Linked DNA regions of Lytechinus pictus. The protein of the gene in region 2 purifies or fractionates together with the protein of the main gene of each other region. This does not show direct contact. Links are inferred from orthologs where the notes say so. Each region holds a gene or a part of one and is shown on either strand. Other genes may lie near its edges.

Region 1 (11,347 bases), on a different chromosome or scaffold from region 2:
ATTCTGATGTGAAAATGGATGATTTAAGTACATTTTAAATAAAGAACATGCAGGCTATCGCGCATGTTTTAGATTTAGACATAGAATCTGGGCATTCTGAATACATTTATTTAATGGAACTTTATGGAATACACGTAGACAATATGAACTTGGCAAATCAAACAATGTGACCACGCAGCGTGAGCTTAAAATGCTGATATGTAGACCATAAAACGGACACTTTACAGAGCACTTAAATTTGTAAATGAAAAAAAATAATGAAAGCTCGATGTCCGAGCTAAAATATGTTTTGTATATTGACTTCAAAACTTGCTCCAAATCAGCCTATTGAGCAAGATATGAATCTCATCGAACAGGCAATTCTGGCACGGCGCAAGCAAAATTTTATATAGTAACATGAAAGTTTTTTGGGTTTTTTTTTGCAAGTCTTCCCCTCACATTATTTTATTCACTCGTCTTCCTCCTCTTGTTTTCCTCTTCTTTTTTTTTCTTCTGTCTTTCTCCTTCTTTTCCTTTTTTCTTTTCTTCTTTCTCCCTTTTTTTTGCTATGCCAAATTTTTTTTAGGGGGGGCACACCAAATCTCAGGGGGGGGCACATGCCCCCCCAGGCCCCCCCCCCCCCCCCCCCCGGAGCTACGCCACTGAGCCTTTGCACCATTATGAGGGACAGGTTGTGGAAAACAAACAAGAAAATAAACTTTTTTCCCCTTCCTTTTCATTTTCTTCCCATTCATTTCATTTTGCATGAGAAAACAATGACAGAAAGAGGAAATACAGCCCCAATATAAAAACAAAGGAAAAAAGGAAGAAGAAAAGTCATACTCATAATAAGTCACTACAAAAAATAATGCCTAGAAATTTGGAATGGGTATCGTTTGACAGTTTGAGAAAGGGCAAGAAACAACTCTAGAACTCTAACTTGAGAAGTACAAGTCCACCGCAACAAAAGTTGATTTGAATAAAACGAGAAAAACCCAACAAGCATAACACTGAAAATTTCATCAAAATTGGATGAAAAATCAGAAAGTTATGACATTTTAAAGTTTCGCGAAATTTCTCAAAACAATTACTTATATGCACATCCGGTCGGTATGCAAATGAGCAGACTGAAGACATCACCAACTCACTATGAAAAATACTTATTTTATCCTCATTATTATGTGAAGCTAAATTTTATTCCTCCCTGAACAGGTGGAATTACCGTTATTTTAACAGTTAATCGTGAAGTCAAGTTGGACCTTATTGTCAAATCTGTAAAAATTGAAATGTATAAATCAAACAATAAACTTTATAAAGAACAAAAGAAATAGTGAGGGACATCATCGATCCTCTCATTTGCATTCATATCACTGAGTTGTGCATATAACTGTTTTGTGAAAAATAAGCGAAACTTTAAAATTCCAGGCATAACTTTCTTTTTTACATCCGATTTTCATGAAATTTTCATGAAAAACTCGGAAAGAGTTCCTTATGCAGCCCCCACCAAAAATAACAAAAGATTGTTGAGACTTCCGGTTCGTTCACTTCAGATTTTTCTATCATTTTTTTTTACTGTTGCTTACCTTAGATCACCCATGGGTTCATTTCATCTCGCGTGCGAAGGAATATCAAATGCACATGATGCACGCGACACATGCAAAGCTTACATGGGCTTTTGCCCAAATAAAAGATTATTATATTAAAGCTAGAATTTCACATTGTGCTATGACACTTACCGAACCATATGGATCCTTTGGTGACTGCTCTTTGTTGTTTATTTTTTTTAAGAAAAAGGAATTTTTCTTGATCTTCACGTAGATGCCCTTCGATCAGCGACGAAATCAATTTTGGCCTAAAGAGGGTGCGCGATATTATTTATAAGCCGGTTTGTTTACGGTCCTGAAGCTTGTACTGCTAGCTGCATTCTAGGTGCTCAGCATTATTTTCTTGCTCGTTCAATCCACTTTCATCATCATCTTGTCAAAAGATGGCGTACTTCACCTATAAGTAAATACATGAGATGCAACCTGTTGATTTTTTTGTACAATTTCCTATATGCACCGACGACTTGAATCGAGGTTTTAGCTAACCTCGCATGCATGTGTGAGTGACCTTAGTTGGTACTCGAACTCACCTCGTTGTATCTCCAGTCAAGTCTCTTCCCGCAATGCTAGCAAGAAGCGCTGATACCGGAAGGGGTATTTTAACGATTATCAGCCGATAGTTCGACTAGTCTAGACTCACAGACCCTTTACTAACTAAATAAACCGATGTCTATGGACAATTACACGTACTAGATCCTGCTCGAAATTTGACGGAATAAACCCATATTTTGGTATGTATTTCCACTTCCCCATCATATATGTTCTATTTTAGGGCTAGATATATTATTCTAAACCTTATCAATGTTTTCATTTTCAATTTTAGTGGGGGGTGCATATTGGAACTCTTGCCAATTTTTCTCTATCGTCTCGATTCAAATTTAATATCAACAATTTTCTTTGACCCGAAAGCTTGACAGTTGACAGATTTCTAAAAAAAAATAACACTACAAGTCTACATAAGACGAATTCTAGTTTATTTAAACCTTGAAATGTGGAAGTTAGAATTTCGTCCGGGAAGTCGTCACGAACAGATGCCTATCCCTCTGCAACAGTACAAGACTGTTAAGGGAGGCAGCGTAGCAAGGGAGGCAGCGTAGCTCAGTCGGTTAGAGCGCATGTTTCAGATAAGATCGTAGTTCTCAACGTGAGGGGTTCGAGTCCCGCTCATGCCGAAACGCGTCTGACAAAAAATCTGATGCTATAGCGTTCACTCATTCAATGAACAAGGTTATGATATAACCTTGTTCTCAGTTATATCTCCATGTGTGGCAAAATAAGGGTGGCAATGTTTGGCTTATTTTCTCTTTTTTCTTTGGGACAAATGCTTGATTTTTTTACACTGAGTTTCCATTACACCTATTCGTCATACAACTTGGCCCTTGCTTAAGCAGTTAAGTAAATTTGATTCTTTAAATTATTTTTTTCTTAATTAAAAATAGAGATAAAAAATGAAAAATTTCTTGCCATATTACTTTCCACCAATAGAGGGCGTACACAAAAATATGCCAAAAATTCAAGTTTCTTAGCGCTCTAGTGAATACAAAAAATTATTCCCAAGTTACTAATGAAAAATAAATTGCAACTGTATAGAAATTAGTAATTTTGGTCACAAAAGTGATATTTTAATGATTTTTGAAAGTGTGTGCTCTGTACAGCATTGGCATGCCATAGTCCTACTTGTACTATTCCCCACGGGCAGGGTGGTTGCAGTGAACAAGTGATAGCGTTGTGTGTTAGCGTGCCTCACCACTGTATTCAGTGCAGGTGTGAATGCAGTTGGAAAACACTCCGTCCATCGGAAAGGACGCAAATGTTGGTCCCGTGTATAGGAGAAGACAGACTATATCTGATAAAATACAGCAAAGTATCTTGGAGTTGAGCTGCAGAGGAACCTCAGCTGGAATCAACACATAAATGCTGTAACCAAAAAGGCCAACTCCACACGTGCCTTCCTCCAGAGAAATATCCGGCCATGTCCAAGAAAGGTCAAGGAACTGTGCTACAAAGCTCTCCTGCAACCAATCATGGAGTATGCCAGCATAATATGGTACCCTCACACGCAAGCAAATATAAAAAAGCTTAAAATGGTGCAGCGACGCTATGCACGCTCCGTCTGTAATGATCACCGTAGAACAAGCAGTGTAGCAACCTTGCTGAACCAGCTCAAATGGCCAACTTTACAAGAGCGTAGGGCACAGGCCAAGGTGGTGATGATCTACTGTATTACCAACTCACTCATTGACATCCCACCTACCTTCCTCACTCCATCCACATCCATGCATAGAGGTCATTCTCAGAAGATCTTTGTTCCCTTTGCCAGAACACTTGTCTACCAGAGGAGCTTCTTCCCAGATTCGATAAGACTTTGGAACTCCCTCCCCAACAGCACAGTTAATTGTACCTCTCTACACATCTTTAAACAAGAGGTACAAAAGACACAGCTCCGTTAATAACGGTGGTTGTTTTTACTTGCACGCTGTAAGCAATTTTTTATCGGATAATGTACACTTGCACGCTGCACTTCACCAGTACGACAATACACCAGACGGTGGACTGTACTGTTTCCAGAAGAAGAAGAAGAGTCACAACCTATGCACGTTAAAACCAATACACTATTCGTCAAAGAGTAGGGTTGTCTCCCGGTGTATTGCACCTGCCGGTCCCGGCAAAATTCAGGTCAAGTCAATCTTGACTTTCATATGCCATAATAATCAATATAAATATGATTATGGGCATTAACGGAAAGACAAGACAAGACTAGCTGGGCTAGTAGTAGTAGAAAAAGAAAGAAAAGAAAAAGGGGGAAAAATAGCAGAAAAAGGACAAAAATACAAGAAAAGAAACGAAAAAAAATGCATGAAAAAAAATGAAACAAGAAAAGAAAAAGAGAACAAAAGAAAAGAAACGAAAAAAAAAAAAAAAAACAGATTTTTTTTTTTTTTTTAAAGGAATGGAAAAGAAAAAAATAATAATTAGCTATTGAAAATGAACAAAAGCTGTGGCAAAAATAGTCAATCCTGACTGGTTGCCAACGGCCAACCAACAAAGCCAAAGGAAAGAAGTAGCCGAGGCTTACACAAAATTCAATGCACGGGACCGGTATCTAAAAATAGGTTACTTTCAAGCGGTTTTATGAGGTAGGTTAAAAGAGTATTGAAATATAAGCACAAGAAATGTATCACATATTACTCACTAATGATATAATCCCAGATTTCATTGAACCTCGTGGCCTAATAGCGAATAAAATCAGGGGTATTCTGGCACAAAAGTCACCGTACGGACTGTAGTCGTCGGTATAGTAGTGGTCTACGTCTAGCTGCATGTAAAAAATATATTGCGGATTGTAAATACCAAATAATAATAATAAAAAAGGTTGGGGCATAGGTGGATAGATTATTCACCTCTATGACTATGGGGGGGGGGGGGAGGGGGGAGGGGGGGGGGAGCTCGAGTCGAGGATAGAGGTTAGGCATACTGATCCGTATACAGATCGGTGTAGGAAGAATTGGTCGGGGATTGGTATGGACTTTTCAATACCCACAAATTTGTTGTGTAGAAATATTAAATGAGCCTAAAATTTTGAGGGGCCAGATATGGGGGGTGAATTTTACAAGCATCATTGAAGTTCTGAAAAGATGCGAGTAACTTTTTTAAGTACAAAAATCTATTAAATTTTTTTTTGACGTAATATTCAGAAAATGATTTAATATTTCACTATTCCCTTTCATTTCCTTTCATTTTACCTACCTCTTTTCTCTTAATAAGTCATGTTTCAAGGGTGTGCCCAGAAAACTGGTACAGGTCTTACAATTAATGTTGTAAAATAAAACCATAGAGATATACACGCCTCATCGAATATTTGCAATATATAATGTTTAAAACCTCTTGGAATACCAGCTGCTGCCGGGCTAGGGTCAAAATTATATATTATTTGAAGATGTAATATGAAGTCATGCAGGTCATATAAAATAATAAACACTGAACAAAACAAAACAAAAACGCATGACAAAAGTGGAAATAAACAAATCCAACCACTGCATTGTACTTTATAAATTTCATATTTAATAATGACCTCCGACGGTTGAAACTATATTGCCCCCCCCCCCCCCCCGTTTGAACTCTTAATTCCCACAACCGTGACGTTGTTAGGGCCTATATTTTTAAAACAATATTTTAAAGAAATTCAACACAATTCTTATAACTGAATGCGCTTAGTTTTCTGGGGTGTAATTGTTTTCAAGCAATATGCTTATTTAATGAACTCTTGCAAATTGTAAATATAATTAAATTGGGAGTAGATCATTATTGTTTTGAATTACATATTTCTACACGTCGTCTTAATCTATGATTCATGCACAAAATGATAATCATAATGATGCGATTGCAGAATAAAAAGCACTAAAATCAAATCAAATATTTTAGAAAGTTTGGGAAACCGATACAAGAACACTAGCTGATAACAGGTTCATATGATTCCCTGGTTGTTCATAGCTGAGAACATTTTCAGGAAGTTCTGAGCAGTCACACTTATGAAAGACAGCAGACCGATCGACGCTATGTTGCCTTATTTCGAATTCGTATTCCCGATCGCTTTGGAACATGGGTTTGGAGACGGTTTCTTGTGTGACTGTGGCCGGGGGACTGTGTCATATAGGGCATGGGTGGAAATCCCAGGGGGGGGGGGAGGGCAGGGGGACGCGTCCCCCTACCATTTTGGAAAGGGGGGGGGGACATAATATCAAATGCCCCCTACTATTTGTGTTTTTTTATTATGGAAAAAAATACATAATTCAAAATCGAAATTATACACATGTCTCCTCGAATTTCGAAATATATATAAACAGATAGTTGGATAGGAAAAAAAAGGCATACCGGCCCGTTTATTCTCAAACTCGCATCTAGCCCTATATATGCCAGCCAAAGAGTGTTGACATTGATGACATCGATGGCCATTGTCAATTTCATAACTAATAAAAATGACCGAAAAAGAAAATCGCCTCTGGTTACTTAGTAAATTTAGTGAATAGATGCATAGTAGACGAGAATCTTCCATACCCTGTAAAATCATACCTTTGTCATAGGCGGATCCAGCTTTTGGCGAAGGAGGGGGGGGGGGGGGTGCACTGCCGAGCGGCGCACATATTTTTGCACTTCACCGGCGCCATAAAAGAAAATGTTGAAAAAGCGGTAAAGTCTGACCCTGTCAAATGCTCTTTTAAATGCTTTTTTAGGATTTCCAGTCATGCCATTTTGCATGACCACACGCAGATAATATTTCCGGGGGGGGGGGCAAGACTCGAACTTATTAAAAAAAAACACGATAGAGTAAACAGACCGATTTTCATAGTTTTCATGAAATGTTAAGGAAAAAAAATGTGTTTTCACAACAGCTGAGACACTACAACTATAATAGGCCAAACGAGCGCAATATCGGACAAATCAACCGGCAACGTTTAAAGTGTTATTGTTTTTTGTACCAAAGCCAAAAGGTTATTTCGATAGCAATATAAGCATGTGCACTGGATCATGTCGATAGACTATTCTTCCCATTGGCTCCAGTTGACCCTGTTTTTATGATTCTTCATTCTTCCTTTTTATCCCGTTTTCCATTGCTATGCAGTTCATTGGTGTGCATAATAGACTTGGACCACAACAGTCATTAACTCCGGTGTTAATTCTATTTTGGTGTTAGTTCAACACCTATATATGTGTGATTTTACAGCACACTTGTTGTAAATTTTACATTGTCTATTTGGTGCTACGTTCGAGAGTGTAATTTTAACATCAGGGTGTGGTCCTCTCGTAGTCAGTTTTAACACCCCACAGTAACTTTATGCACCTTAACTAGGCTCCGTCTTTCAAATCACTATCTTGATTTCAAGCAATTGATCTCCCGTAATTTAGTGATCGAACTTTAAAGTCGACAACACCATGGATTATTTCGAAACAGCGACACGGATGCTATCTGATGAGGGAATGTTTTCTGAAGACGTTGCCATGGTAACGGGGACGGATAACTGGACGACCACCGGTCAACACCTTCCTCCATCACCGCCTGCTTACATCGCAGCCTTGAAAAAAGCAAATAAGTATACTCTGATCACAATCCTTATCTTCCTCATGCTAGCCATGGGCTGCGTGGTCAAACCAAGCGATTTTAAAGAAGTGGTAAGTTAATTTATTTACATAATTTATTTATCAATTTATCTTTTACTTTTTACCTCCATATCACTTGTATTTAATTCATCGTTTTCACGAGTTACTAGCACGATCCCTCGACTTATAACTCATTTCCACGAGTTTTAAGTTAATGGAACGAGTTATAAGTCAAGGGAACGAGTTATAAAATAGAGAAAACGAGTCATTAGGTCGAGGGAACGAGTTTTGAGTCGATGGAACGAGTTATAAGTCAAGGGAACGAGTTATAAATCAAGGGAACGAGTTATAAAGTAGAGGAAACTAGTCATTAGGTCGAGGGAACGAGTTTTAAGTTGATGGAACGAGTTATATATCAAGGGAACGAGTTATAAAGTAGAGAGAATTAGTCATTATGTCGATGTAACGAGTTTTAAGTCAAGGGAAAGAGTTATAAAGTAGAAGGAACGAGTCATTATATAACATGTCGATGGAACGAGTTTTAAGTCAAGGGAACGATTTATTAAGTAGAGGGAAAGAGTCATTAAGTCAAGGGAACGAGTTATAAGTCAAGGGAACGAGTTATAAAAGTCAAGCAAACTCTTGGGAACGAGTAACGGGGGGGGGGGGGGAAGGGCATATGTCATCGTAAGGTTCCGTACTTAACCTTGTAAACGTTTTGTCTTAAAATTAAATTAAGTCAGTATTGATTAGTGCTCTCTTCGATTAATGTGTGAGCGACACAAATTATAGTATTACATTGATTTTGAATTTTAATTCATTCGGACTAGCAGACAACGTGATCCCCTGTATAATAACATTTAAATTTGAATGGTATAACAACTCTGTTGCTAACTTTATCCACTACTTATATACTATTTCTCCATCTTGCATCTAAGTGAAGGTTACATTTTTCCCTTTACCCAATATTTAAAAGTTTAATCATTTTTATAACAAGTGCATGAATACGCATAAGTCATCATTATCGACAGAACCAATCAACAAAGATTATAAACTATGACAATGCTTATGCATAAACATATTCATTAGTCATTCATACCAATCAATTTAGAACGACCCGAAAAGGTAATGTTTTTCCCCGCTTTTTTATTATTATTTTTTTTGTCCAGTTACGCGTGCCGAAAAGTGTACTGATCGGGATGTTGTGCCAGTTCGTCTTGATGCCTCTGTCTGCTTTCTGCCTTGCTCTCGCCCTGTCCTTACCGGCGCCCATGGCGTTAGGGGTACTCGTCATGTCATGCTGCCCTGGAGGAGCCGTCTCTAACCTCTTCACCTTCTGGACAAAGGGAGATGTATGTCTCAGGTTGGTTTTATTAATCAGGAACGACACCAGGGGAGAGGACAAGACGACCTAGATAGAGGTTGACGTTATATTTTTTTCTCATTTTAATTGTAGAGGCATTGCAGAGTGAGGCGGCCTTAACTTTTTTTGTATACTCTCACCCTTTCTTTCTTCCACATCTCCTTCTCTCTAATCATTTCCCATTTTGTTAGAATCATGTCACCTAGTGGTGCCTACCCTGTTCATAGAGGATAATGATGGTGGTCGAATGTCGTCGAAGAAGAAGAAGAAAAAGAAGAAGAAGAAGAAAAAGGAGGAGAAGAAGAAGAAAAGGGAGAAGAAGAGGAGAAGGAGGAGGAAGAAAAAGTAGCAGTAAGTAGTAGTAGTAGTCAGGGGCCGCGGAAGCGGGGGGGGGGGGCTGTGGGGGCTTCAGCCCCCCTACTTTTTTCCAAAACCATGTACAAAAACGTAAAAATGACCATATGATTGTATTTTTATGCATGGTCAGCCCCCCCACCTTGAAAACCGTTCCGCGGCCCCTGGTAGTAGTAGTAGTAGTAGTAGTAGTACTGTAGTAGTACTAGTAGTACTGTAGTATACAGTAGTAGTAGTAGTAATAATAGTATAGTATCTAGTAGCCTGATAAAAGTTATCGCATCTGTTACTGATAATATTGTTTCTAAGATTATAAGGACCGCTGTGGTCAATAACTATCTATTGAAATATTGAATTCTTTTTAAGATGCGATTAAACGATCAGATGATAATGACTGAATCTTTAATTTCAGCATCACCATGACGACCATCTCGACCGTAGCCGCCATTGGGCTCATGCCTCTGAACCTGTTCATCTACAGTCGAAGATGGACCGATGACAATGCCGTCGTCCCCTTCGTCAGCATCATCACAGCTTTGGTGTCCATTGTGATCCCAGTAACAATTGGGATGATCATCCGATGGAAGAGAATAGAGTGGACATCGTTCATTTCAAAGGTTACTTGAAAGCGGGTCTGCGCTACTGGGGGGGGGGGGGGCGTCCCTTTTATTAAAGTAGAGAGAAAAGGAAGAAACACAGTGAGAAAAAAGAAGAAAGCGAGAAGAGACAGGAAAGGTTGTCTTGCCTCCCTCCTATCATAAACCCTGACGCTGCCCCTAGTTGAAACCAAAGTGGTCATTTAAACTGCGAAACGTTGAATTATAACATCTTTGGTTGAGGAGGTGTGGTATGTATGCACCAAAATGTTCTAGCCATAGTAAACGTTTGTGATCAATCGATGAAAAAAATGCCAGGGGCCAATCAATACCGTCGTAGCATGTGTACGTTTTTCAAAACACTGACCAAGATTAAACCAATAAGAGTGGTTATTTCATAATTGCAATTCATAGCAAGGCATTTTACGTTAATATCCCCTCAAACTCTTTGTCTGATCAGCAAGCATTTCGCGAAGGGAAACTATCCAACAAAGTATTTATCAGACAGTCAACAAACTAGCATCTTATCTTCCCAGCCAATCAAAATCGAGGAAAGTTGTCGGATCTGAAAACTTGTCGGACGAAAATTTTTGATGAAACGCTCTCCTGAAAAACCGAGGAGCGTTTCATAAAAGGACCGACAAAATCTGTTTTATACGAAGCGTTAGCAGAGTAACGTCTCAGCCCATCAAAATCAAAGAAAATTGTTGGCCCTGAAAACGTGTCGGACGGCACATGTTGATGAAACGCAGTGATGCATGGTTAGTCATCATGAAAAGATTATATTCTGTTGGCATTATGATAACGGTCACTCAAGATACCAAGAAAATCGAGTCTTCTATAGTTCCATAGTCTCTTTACCCTGTTCATCCACTTCAAGACTTCACACCCCATGAAGCATTTCATGAAATAATAGTGATGTTCACAAACAATTGTTGTAAGCTACCAAAGTCCTCAGCCTAATCTAATTGACTAAGAGCAAATTTGTCAGCGAAAGTCACTGAATATTGATTCTATGAAACACTCGACCCTGGTTTACGATCATTTTGAGGTCTTGGGACTGCATTCATCTCACAAGAAAATGCTCCTCATCCCCCCTCTCCCAATATTGTCTTATACGCTCTTTAATATTTTGCCATCACTACTTTTAGGTTGGGAGCATCCTAGGCCTCCTGGGAATAGCCACAAGCATCACCCTCACGGCAATCATCAACCCCGGGATGTACTCCGTCTCCTGGCAAGTTTGGATCTGCGTCCTCACCCTCCCTACCTTGAGCGCCGCCCTCGGTTATCTCCTCTCCTGGGCCTTACGCCGCCCGCCCGCACACTGCCGTACCATCGCCTACGAGACGGGT
Region 2 (10,941 bases):
AAAGTTCGCTTTGGACACACCCAGGCAGAAATCAAAGCAACAAGCTTTCAAGGAGCTTTTCACAAGTAATGCTCTAGTCTTATCATTGAGGCAGAAGCTGCAGCTCTTGCCTCTGCAGTTATGCTAAAAATATAAGTGATAGGTCTCATGCAGCCAACTTTACCCATTCGCCTTGCTGTAGATGTTGTATTCTTATCATAGAACTATAATTTGCGGCAGTTTTTGTACAAACAAAAGGAGGGCCTCTGGCAGTCTTGCCTACATTATGCCATTGAATATAGCAGCATTGCTGACTTGGAAAACAAGTCATATGAATATATTTATTCACCAAAAACAACTTTCATATGATTTTAAACTGACCCTAAATGACCTTTGACCTTAATGTTACCTGAAACTTGTGCAAAAACGATTAATGATATAAGATTACTCTTATGTCCAAGTTTCATGAAGTAGATCCATAAACTTTCAAATTTATGATGACATTTCAAAGTTAAAGAAATACCCCAACATGGTCTAAGTTCATTGACCCGAAATTGACCTTTGACCTATTTCCTGTGACCTGAAACTGAACTGGCTGCTAATGTGATTCAGGATGACATCCTGGGGTGTTTCACAAAAATACAGCTGTATAGCTAACAATGTTTATATGTACAATGCCATCTTAATAGAAGATTGGCAAGCAACTTATGGCGCAGTCTCATTCACCTATGATGGCCGTACGGCGAGTCTAAAACAGCCGTTTTCATAATTTTTGTACCAGCTTCCTGGGTGTTCTTATGGAAATCCATAAAAAGGCCACTTTCGACTCACCATGAGGACACCGTAGGAGAAATATGACTGTAATATCAAAGACCTCCCAGTTTCTAGGCACTATCACTATCTCACTTAGTTCTATAAAGACTTGCGACTGATGCGATCCAGTAAGCCATGTGGGTATGTAATTTTGATCCCCCCAAACAGTGATTTACTGTGTATACCTACCATGGAACTTTGAGCAATTCAATCTCTCCTCCTGCGATATCTGCTCAAATTCAGAGTCATAGACATAGTCTCCACACGCCACACAGAATACCGTTCCATGAGTCATGTCAACAGCTGTAACAACAGAGGAAAGTGAAATAAGGAAAATGTCTCATCAACTCAAAACAAAGATCATATGTGCATTACAATTTTAAAATAATTTACCCCCCCCCATGATTTTGCAAGTGAAGAAAAAAAAGGAGAAGAAAGAGTATAAAAAGAGAAGACTGGGTAATGTAAATTTATACCTCCCCTATAATCCAACTGAAAAAAAAGAAGTAATTTTTAGATTGTCGACCCCTCCCTATCCTAGCACCATCCCGATTGAAAGCATAATAGTCATTAAGGGGGAAAAGGCTTGTATCTCAAATTATAGGAAAGATCTATGCCACGTTTATGAAAAGACGAGTCCAAAAAGATCCCTTTCAATAGAATTTAAGCAACAACGTTTTTATTTTTAATTCTCATATGTCTTACTCCATACTGCACAGGTATGTTCTTAAAATTCATCAATAAAGTGAGCATATTTTTGCTGGGAATATATTTCTTTCCTTCTAGTTTATAACTAGGCCCCATTTCATAAAGATGTTGTGACAAGCACTTTGCATGTAATAACTTTGCCATTATGGCAAGTATTCTGGAAAGGAAACCCTGATTTTGATTGGCTGCTGAGCCTTGTTGCTATGGCAATTACCATATTCGCAAAGTTACTATAATTGTAAGTTCTTTATGAAAAGGGCCCCAGATGTTGATGGAATCGACACCAGGGGGCCCACTTCAAAAAGAGTTAACTCTCACTCTAAGTTACTATGGTAACTTTGCAATCATGGCAACTACCATGGTAACAGGGCTCAACACCTAATCGCAATCATGGTTTCCATGGGAGTTACAATAAGGACTGAGTTACCATAGTTGTCTTTTTTTAAACAGGGCACCAGATCAAGCAACTACCAATTAGGCCCAACTCATTTTGGCATCTTTCTGATCTCCAGTTTCAAGAGGATCAGGGGCCTCTTTCATAAAGACTTAGAGCTGTGGTAAGTTTGCCATTATTGTAGTTACCATGGAAACCTTGGTTGTGATTGGCTGCTTATTCCTGCTATAATGAAATGTTACAGTTGTTGTAACTCTTCATTAAATGGGCCCCAGAATCCCCCCCCCCTCCCCCACTGTGAATATTTATCATTTTAACTATGCCATAATACAATATGAATATGAATGAGGATTTTCTTTTTAAGAAAACATTTGACCCTTTCTCATTCAAAACTTTCATGCTTATTATGAGTAAGAATCAAGGGATTCCTCATGAAAACCCTCATCATCCATGGTACATTTTAAGAAACATCTTGTCCAAAACTTTTACTAGCAAACTTGCTCTAACCAATCAAATGAAATTATTTCAACGGCTTTAAACAGTCAACCAGTGAAAAATGACTGACAAGTTTCATGAAATGCACCCTGCGAAGTCTTTCACAAAGCAAATAGTTATATAATATTGACTGGCCTTGAGGGGAACATCAAAAATATATTGCCCACAAAAGAATCATATTGGCCCGAGTCTTTAGACGAGGGCAATATGACTCTTTATTATCATCCAAATCAGACATCAAGAATATGGTTCTGTGTGATGTTTAATACCAGGGGCCAGGCTCTGCACTTTACCATTTTGACATACTTGTAATTATAAGATCGCGTCACTAGGGATGCATATCCAGCGCCGGGATCCAGTGTTGTTTTTATTATGACGTATATTTTGCTGCGCGGATCATTATGAAGCATATCTCTTTCTACGCATCCTCGTATGCCCGGATGTGAGACCAGGGAAGATACAAAGGCATATTTTGTGTCGTCTCTGCATGCAAAGTCAATAGGCGCATCGAGACCGAGGAAAATACAAATGATATACCTATGCCTTTCCGATATTCAGAAAATCTAGGGCGATACGGTTTTGTTAAATTACCAGCTCAGATGTCTGATATGAGTGATAATCTGTTATATTCATTGACCAATTGGTTCTAAACCAATCAGATGCAATTATTTTAGTAGCTTTTAAAGTCTTTCAGAGAACAAATAGTCAATCGTTTATTTGTTCTGAGCCAATAAGATTTTAGAAGCTGCAACAGTCATCAGTGAAAATGACTGACAAAAAGATCCATGAAATGCTCGTCCGAACTTGACGACGCCGATGAACCTACCCAGGTGGTGTTTGGTGGACCTAGCATGATCCTGTATATGGCCCATCATATAACAGCCGAAGAACACACAATGTAGGCACGCATGAAGACGTTGGTTATACTGATGACATACGTGACAGCTACCTGCCCGAGCCTGCCCAAAGAAAGAAAACATTGTCAAAGAAAGAAATATTTAGTCAAAGGATTACTTTTTTAGCCTTAGTGACAATAATATTCAGAAAGTGTTCAGTTTCTCTTTTGCCCAGTCAAAATTTGTCATGATTTTAATTGCTCAATACTGGAGTTAGGAAACACCAAAATATTGTTATCAAAATAAAATTTGAATATGTGTGGGCATGTCTCCTTATTATAGATTTGGCATAACTTAGTTGAAGCTTGGAGATACAATTGAAATGTTGAAAAATTATTTTACTTTAATCTAGTCTAATCTAGGCTATATTCATTTGATTTCTTCCACAAGCACAATTTGCGATAAATTAAAAATGAGAAAGAAAAAACACTTTCCTATGTTTAGTATTAATTTGTTTTTATAACTAGCGAGGGCCAAATGCAAGGGAAACATCTGTTCAAACTTAAGTATCTAGAATAGTCCCCTGTTACAACATCATCATTGAATCAAGGGAAAGTGAGCCAAGCAAACAAAGACAAACTAAACAATCACTTTGTCTTCGCCTTCGCACTGCAGTGGCAGTTAATTCACCGACAGTGACACCACTGTCACTGTGTCACTTTCTCCTCAACGACGTGACAAACTGAAAGGACAACAGACATGACATAACAAGAAAGATGCTCACTTTTCTCTTAACATTTTCGACAGAGCTACAAGACACAAAGAAAGCTTGAATAATTCTAAAGGGCTTCGTTCCTTTGCTCTTCTTGAAGGCAGCTACATGCGGGCAGCCCGATAAGCTCATACTTAGCAGCGGCTGCCCGTTGGCTTTGTACCACACTCCACTCCGTATCTCCCTGGTCCAGCGGGGCACGACTCCCCGTGTAAACCCTCTGCTCGCCGGTAAAGAACCCAGTCTAGCTGAAACTTCAATCACTCGATATCCAAAACAGTCGATTCTTCTTTCGCAACGAAGGTCGTCATCATGATCCAAAGTACTTATTTTGATTCACAAATTCTTAAAGATACATAATAGGCTGTTTATCGAGAGAGGTACCGGTACAAGTGTTTTTAAACTCCGATAACGTGTCTATTTTGAAATAGCGTTCCCTTGTTTTCTACGCGATGCTGGAATACGCACAATAAAAGGCGAGTACGAGTTCCCAGCCGGCCAATGCTAGTGACAAATGCAAGCCACAAGTTGTAGAAAATGATTACGGTGTTTAACTATACACTTGAAATATGTATGCATATAACGCCCCGGTAATCTATATAGAGTCATTCCTCTCGGGTCCTGGAAAAGTTGTTTCCAATGCGCAATCGCAGTACCCCAGTCAAAGAAATTGACTTCCGGATTTGGGTCAATAAACCGAAATCATATTTCTCTCTCCCTCTCTATCTTTCATTTTTGTATAATTCCTTCCTCATTGCTGCAGTATGCCAGATTTTAGCACAATTAAGCAGCTTATATCATGATTATGGAAGTGAATGGTTTTCATGGTATGCACATTATCAGCCTCTTCCATTGCCAATCATTGCAATGAATCATGATTTATTTACATGTTTTCTCGTTTTCTTTTCTTGAAAACAGTAAAAGAAAATGAACTTAATAATAACTAGGCCTAATTTGATATTTATTTGATTTATTCTTTTTTCCTGCATTCATAACATTCGTATATAAAACGTTTTTCATTACAGAACAAACATATTGGTTATAGTTTTTGGGCATAAATCATAAACTTATGGACTGAATAAAAAGTCATATGAACAAATATGATCTATACTACCAAATGGTTTCAACATTTACAGTTTGCAGGAGAAGGATTGTCATTATAAGCAGATTGCTTAAAATGACAACCATGGAATAATATTCATTAAATCAATCATAAAACATTTATAAAACAGAAAGGTAATAATAATCATAGGGTTGAATGTCGAACACTTAAAACAACTTTTGCCTATCATTTCACAAATGCATAGCGAGACTATTGCAAGTAGGCTTGATTACTCTAGAACAGGGGCAGATGAATTTTCGAAGGGAGGGGGGCACGAAAAAAATTGACAAGCAAAAAAAAAGGGGGGGGTAACCTAAAATTTTAAGGGGATTTTGTCCACGAAAAAATCATTTGACAAAGAAAAAAGGTCTTCACTTTCTAAAGGGGGCACACTTATGTTTTAAGGGCATTTTTACACTACAAATTTTAATTGTGCCTCTCAAGGGGGGGGGGGGGACGTCCGGCTGTGCCCCCCTGGATCCGCCAGCTAGTGCTCTAGGATCATTCAAAATTCTTGAAAATGTCATAAGCCTTGCCCGGATACTGATGTGCAACAAGTTTGGGCTCAGGTAACGGTTCCGAGGGGGTGCCCCCTAAAAGAAAATGATGTATTTTTTTCTTTTTGAACCGGGCAAAAAAGGTGCCCCGATCGACCGTCAAGGAAAGGGGGTGATTAAAGTGATGGGCTTTCTTTTTTCCCCTTATTGCATTTATTGTTGTGTTTTTAAGTGGGGGTAGCATTGTCATGCAACAACCTCAATGCATTTGGATGAAAGAAACGGTCTATTGATGAAAGCTTTCAAAAGGCAGGCCACAAAAATTAAAATTTGATTTGAACCTAAAAACAGAAAGACATAATTATTCATAAAATCGGATGAAAAATAGGCCCGAAAGTTATAAAAAAAAAGTTTCAATTTTCACAAAACCGTATATAGGCCTATTCAAAGCATGTATGATGTGGTTGATGTCACACACTATCTATATGAAGTATACAGATATTTCATTTTTGCATATTTCCACCCCAACAAAGAGGTGATTTGAATAAAAAGAGAAAATCCAAAGGCAAGAATAACACTGAAAATTTCATTAAAATTGGATGTAAAATAAGAAAGTTATGACATTTTAAAGTTTCGCTTAATTCCACAAAACACTGAGTTATAATTTATGCACATCTTGGTCGGTATGCAAATGAGGAGACTGATGACGTAATCCACTCAATATTTCTTTTGTATTTATTATATGAAATGTTCTATTTTTCTCCTAATTGTCAAGTGAAACAACGATTAACTCCTCTCTGAACATGTGGAATTATTATTGTTTAATGCTGTATGGTTCAGTCAAGTTGGTCCTTATTTCCAAATCTGTAAAAGATGAAATATTGTATAATTCAAACATTAAAAAACAAAAAATCATTTGCATGTCACTGAGTTGTGCATATTACTGTTTTGACGGTGAAAATAAAGCGAAACTTTGAAATGGCATAACTTTCTTATTTTACATCCGATTATGATGACATTTTCAGCGTTATCCTAGTTTGATTTTTCTCTTTTTAGTCAAATCAACATTTTCTGAGGTGTACTCGAGTCAAAGTAGGTCGAAAAAACATGCTCGTGAACCGGAGAGATTACCTGTTTTCTTGTTTCGCATCATAATTATTTAATGAGGCAAATAACATTTCATATTTTTTATTCGACCGTTACAAAGTGAACAGCTATACTGCGTGACGCCATCGGTTCCCTTATTTGCCGGCCGACCATGTGCCAGGATTGTCATATTTTTTTGTGTGTGTGAAAATAAGCGAACTTTAGACTGTTTGTACTTGCCCCCACCCCCTTATATTTACAGGGTATGCCCTTGTTGTTGATTGGTCTGCTGCATGTGCAACCCTTCACTCGAGTTAAGGGTCTGATTGTGCAGCCTATAATGCCTTGTGTACTGAAGGTCCTCTAAACAGCAAATCTTATGTGCTATATTTATAGTCTTTGAGTGGAGAACCACTTTTTGATCAAAGTTTCAATCAGTTTCTGTGCCTGCAGACTAATTTTTGATTGATTTGTCTAATATTGCTCTCTTTATTTGCTCTTCTTTTAATTCTTTTCGTTTCCTCCACTTTTTTTTTCTTTTGAAAAATCATAAGAGAGAGTCACCTCTGCCACCTGTCGGATGTCGTGCTTGCTGCTCCTACCCGCTAGCAGTCAATGAGTGCATTGATCATCAAGTATTATCTAAAGTGTATACTTTTTCACCCTCATCGAATTTATGAAAACTTAAGTTTTTATTATAAAAAATCTCGACAAACAGCCGTGTTTGGCAGGGTTGTTAATCTTACTGCACTGTGTAATATTACATGCATTTGTGTAAAATTACAGAAAATAGATATTTGGTGTATGTAACCTTACACATTTATTTAATTAAACTATTTTCCCCCTTTTTTAAGCAGACCTGTTCTGTAAAATTCTATAAAAATTGTATAAAATCTTCCCTGTTTTAACAATTTACAGAATGATTTGGTGACTACTTTCTGTAAAATCTGTTTTTTAATTTTTCTTCTGTAAAATCTTCTGTTTTTCTAACAGTGTATTTTCTTTTGATTTTGACTTTGATTTTCCTTTTGATTTTGTATTTTCTTTTGATTTTGCATTTTCTTTTGATTTTGTATTTTTATTTTGATATTTATCGACGTGAAGTTGTGAACAAAACAAATTTCCAATATGGATAAATAAAGACGAACTTGAACTTGAAATGAGAAAGATTCAAACTGAAACAGAAAAAAAAATGTTGACATTTTTTAAAAAAAAACTAAGGGTCGCTAAAATTTTCGCAGATGCATGGTTTTACTATAGAGGAACATTCATAATGATATCATGAATTTTCGATAATTCTTGCAACTCTTTGAAATAATAACTTGCATTTTTAAATCCTCAAATACCAGATCGATCAAACTTTTTTCTGTTTATACCGCCTGTTCGTTGAATGAATCAGTAATATGTTTATTGTAGACTAGCGCCATCTAATGTTAATCCGTTGAAAGGACCACTGACTGGCCACCAGTACATGGCGCTCAGGTGTAAAAATACAATAAATGGCAAAGAAGCGAAATTGACCCTTTTGAAATTTTAACATAATATCCAAAGAATGATTTCTTATTTTCTCGTAGTCTTTTCAATTTAATATTTTTCCTTCTTCTTATCTCTGTTTTATTCGTTTATATAGGCCTACCTCGGTCTGAATTTTGAATATTTTTTTTTTCTGAGGGGGCAACAGTCCCAAGCCCCTGCCCCCGAATATTTAGGCCATTTAATACCGAGATGAGGCGAGGTATATGCTTACAGTCGAACTTTGGTCGAATATCAAAATCACCACTTCACAATGAAACAAATGTAACTTTACAAACTATGTCACGATGACCCACCCCCTCCATGCACCGAAGAAAGCAATGGGTTGGCTCGCCGCATCTTAATTCCTAACTGTGTATTTGATTATTATTATTATTATTATCATCATCATCATCACATCATCATCATCATCATCATCATCATCATCATTATTATTATTATTATTATTATTATTATTATTATTATTATTTATTGATTGCATTTATTCTTTTTCATTCCAAAATTTAACAAAAGTTACACTGTATAGCAAAACACAAAAAATATAATATACAGAAATGAAAAAAGGGAACCCATTGGAAAGCAAAGCTTGTTTGTATCGGTTCCCTGCAATAAATAGTTAATTAAAGTACATTATTATTATTATCATCATCATTATTATTGATTGATAGGTATGTTTAATGTACATGTTTTGGCGCTCTGCATGCACGCCAAATTATTATGTCAAAATTTAAAAAATTGACAATATATGTTTAATATAAAATAGTATTTTTTGCAAAGTTGAATGATTTGCAGTGCTTACCAATGCTTTAGAAGAACTTATATTTGCATTGTATGTCATGAAGTTTTGAAGTTGTCAAAATTATTCAAATTCGTCAAAGGAAATGGCCCTGGGAAGCGGCTTTGCTGGGGGTGGGCTGAAGCATCCCCAAAAATTTCCTCGGGGGTACTGCATGTATTATTTTCCATAGGCAGCACGTACCCCCAGGTATTCTGCAAGATGTGTGAAAATTGAAAAAATGTAACCAAAGTGACTTTAATTTTGTATTGAAACTTTATTTTTTTTTTTTTTGGGGGGGGGGGGGTTTTCAAATTTCTTGGACCAATTTTTACCTCCATTTTGTAGTAAAAACCCTTATTTTTGGGGGGACAATTAGCTATCCATTGTGTTGTCAAAACCTTTTTTTTTGCTTTTCAAAGTTACATCAGCACCCCCAGTAAAAAAATCATTCCTAGGGCCCTGTCAAAGGGGGCAAATATGCCCCCCCTCCCTCCCCCAGGATAGATGTCTTTTGTTAGGGTCAGGGTCTTCTAGAACCAATATTATTCAACATTGTTATAAACTGTAAGCGGATAGCCGCTGATCCTCGAATACCGGGGGAAGAACAACAAAGAAGAAGAAGAAGTATTAAAGCAATGCGCTTATGAATTTCACCTATTCTATATATTGGCCGTCACTATATCCCCGAATCCCTCAGTTTCGAAAGCGTTCGTTAAGTTTATTGCTCTTTGTTTTTGGAAAACGCCATCTTCGGTTTCTGCGTACCAGAGTTTTGGAAAACAATAACAGGGACGATTGAGTTGGCAAAGCGGTACAGCTGTGCACCCTAGCGTGGATCTTTGAAGGGTAATCCTCGCGTGTATACGAAGGTTACCCAAAGATCGACAGTTTACCGGTACGGCCTGGTGGTACTGGAAGCAGCGGTGGAGTCGGCGGCCGTGGTGGGAAATGCGAAAATCGATAGCGCTGCCGGAATATGGGAAACTTTGATTTCATTCCACTTTAGCCCTTCAAAGCGACAAGATGGTGCGATTCAGATTGAAGAAAATTCTTCAATACTTGCTTTTTGCATCGGTTGTGGTGCTAGTCTGGCGAGAATTCGAGCGTCTCGACGGCAGCCGTGGATTGAAACCTGGACGTTTTGAACCCGAGGCGAGGAACCAGCCACTTGTTGCCGGGGTAAACGTAGCACCGGATGGCCCTGTACGGCGGTCGGTGGGCGGCCGGGGAGGCGGAGCTGATGATGGTGGTATTCGTGGCGGAGTAGGGGCAAGGGGACGCGAGCCGTTATGGCAGGAAAACAAACAAATAGACTCTGGAATTGTGAGAGCAAAGCAAAGGGATATCGTTTCAGAAGTGGACCCTAAACCTGTTTTACCTGCAAACATAATTCTCCAAAGAAATTCATCAAACCATAAGACTTCTAGTGAGATTTCTTCCAGAATTGACCTTCAAAAAGAAGCTGCAAAACCAAAGATACATGAGAAAGAAGCTAAATTAGACGGTCATCAAGTATTTTCTGTAACAATAGATGAACCAAAAGTTGTGCAGAATGCAAATCCCGCCGTGCCAATCAAAAACTTGTCAAACTTGGTGGCGAAGAAGCAGGCTTCAAATTTTACTATTGTAGTTCAAAACGGAGACATTCCATCCCAGTCACTCGCACACAAACAAACTGAACTGTCAGATGTATTTATTGGAGTGAAAACAACTGAGAAATACCACAGCAGTAGACTTCAGCTCATCTTGGATACCTGGTACTCATTAGCTCCTGAACAGGTGTGTATGATACAAGTATTATGGTCCAGATTTTCTGGAATTTCGAAGTCTGAAACAGGGAGTGAGGAAGTTGAAAATTGTTCATGAATTGTATGTCATTAATGTAAATATAAAGGGGATCTAGAATGCATTGAAAATAATATCTTTTTCTATTATCAAAATGATTTTT

What was found. The genes of interacting proteins can lie anywhere in the genome.
Region 1: the proteins of ubiquitin carboxyl-terminal hydrolase 22-like (region 2) and STAGA complex 65 subunit gamma-like purify together in Homo sapiens (affinity purification with mass spectrometry; 3 studies listed by BioGRID and IntAct, with this or other methods). This does not show direct contact. The link is inferred for Lytechinus pictus from reciprocal best matches to the Homo sapiens genes USP22 and SUPT7L.

What each region holds. Positions count from the first base shown.
Region 1 is NC_087249.1:18,377,053-18,388,399, forward strand, and holds the start of STAGA complex 65 subunit gamma-like, read right to left. Parts: upstream 4,920-11,347; 5' UTR 4,777-4,919; intron 1,981-4,776; exon of another isoform or gene 1,716-1,980; intron 1-1,715. Other genes in the region: ileal sodium/bile acid cotransporter-like, read left to right, coding at 7,515-7,751, 8,849-9,042, 9,809-10,013, 11,144-11,347.
Region 2 is NC_087254.1:10,421,928-10,432,868, reverse strand, and holds the start of ubiquitin carboxyl-terminal hydrolase 22-like, read right to left. Parts: upstream 4,661-10,941; 5' UTR 4,130-4,660; coding exon 4,010-4,129; intron 3,349-4,009; coding exon 3,216-3,348; intron 1,096-3,215; coding exon 982-1,095; intron 1-981. Other genes in the region: uncharacterized protein LOC129270144, read left to right, coding at 10,017-10,859. UniProt on the Homo sapiens protein: Deubiquitinase that plays a role in several cellular processes including transcriptional regulation, cell cycle progression or innate immunity.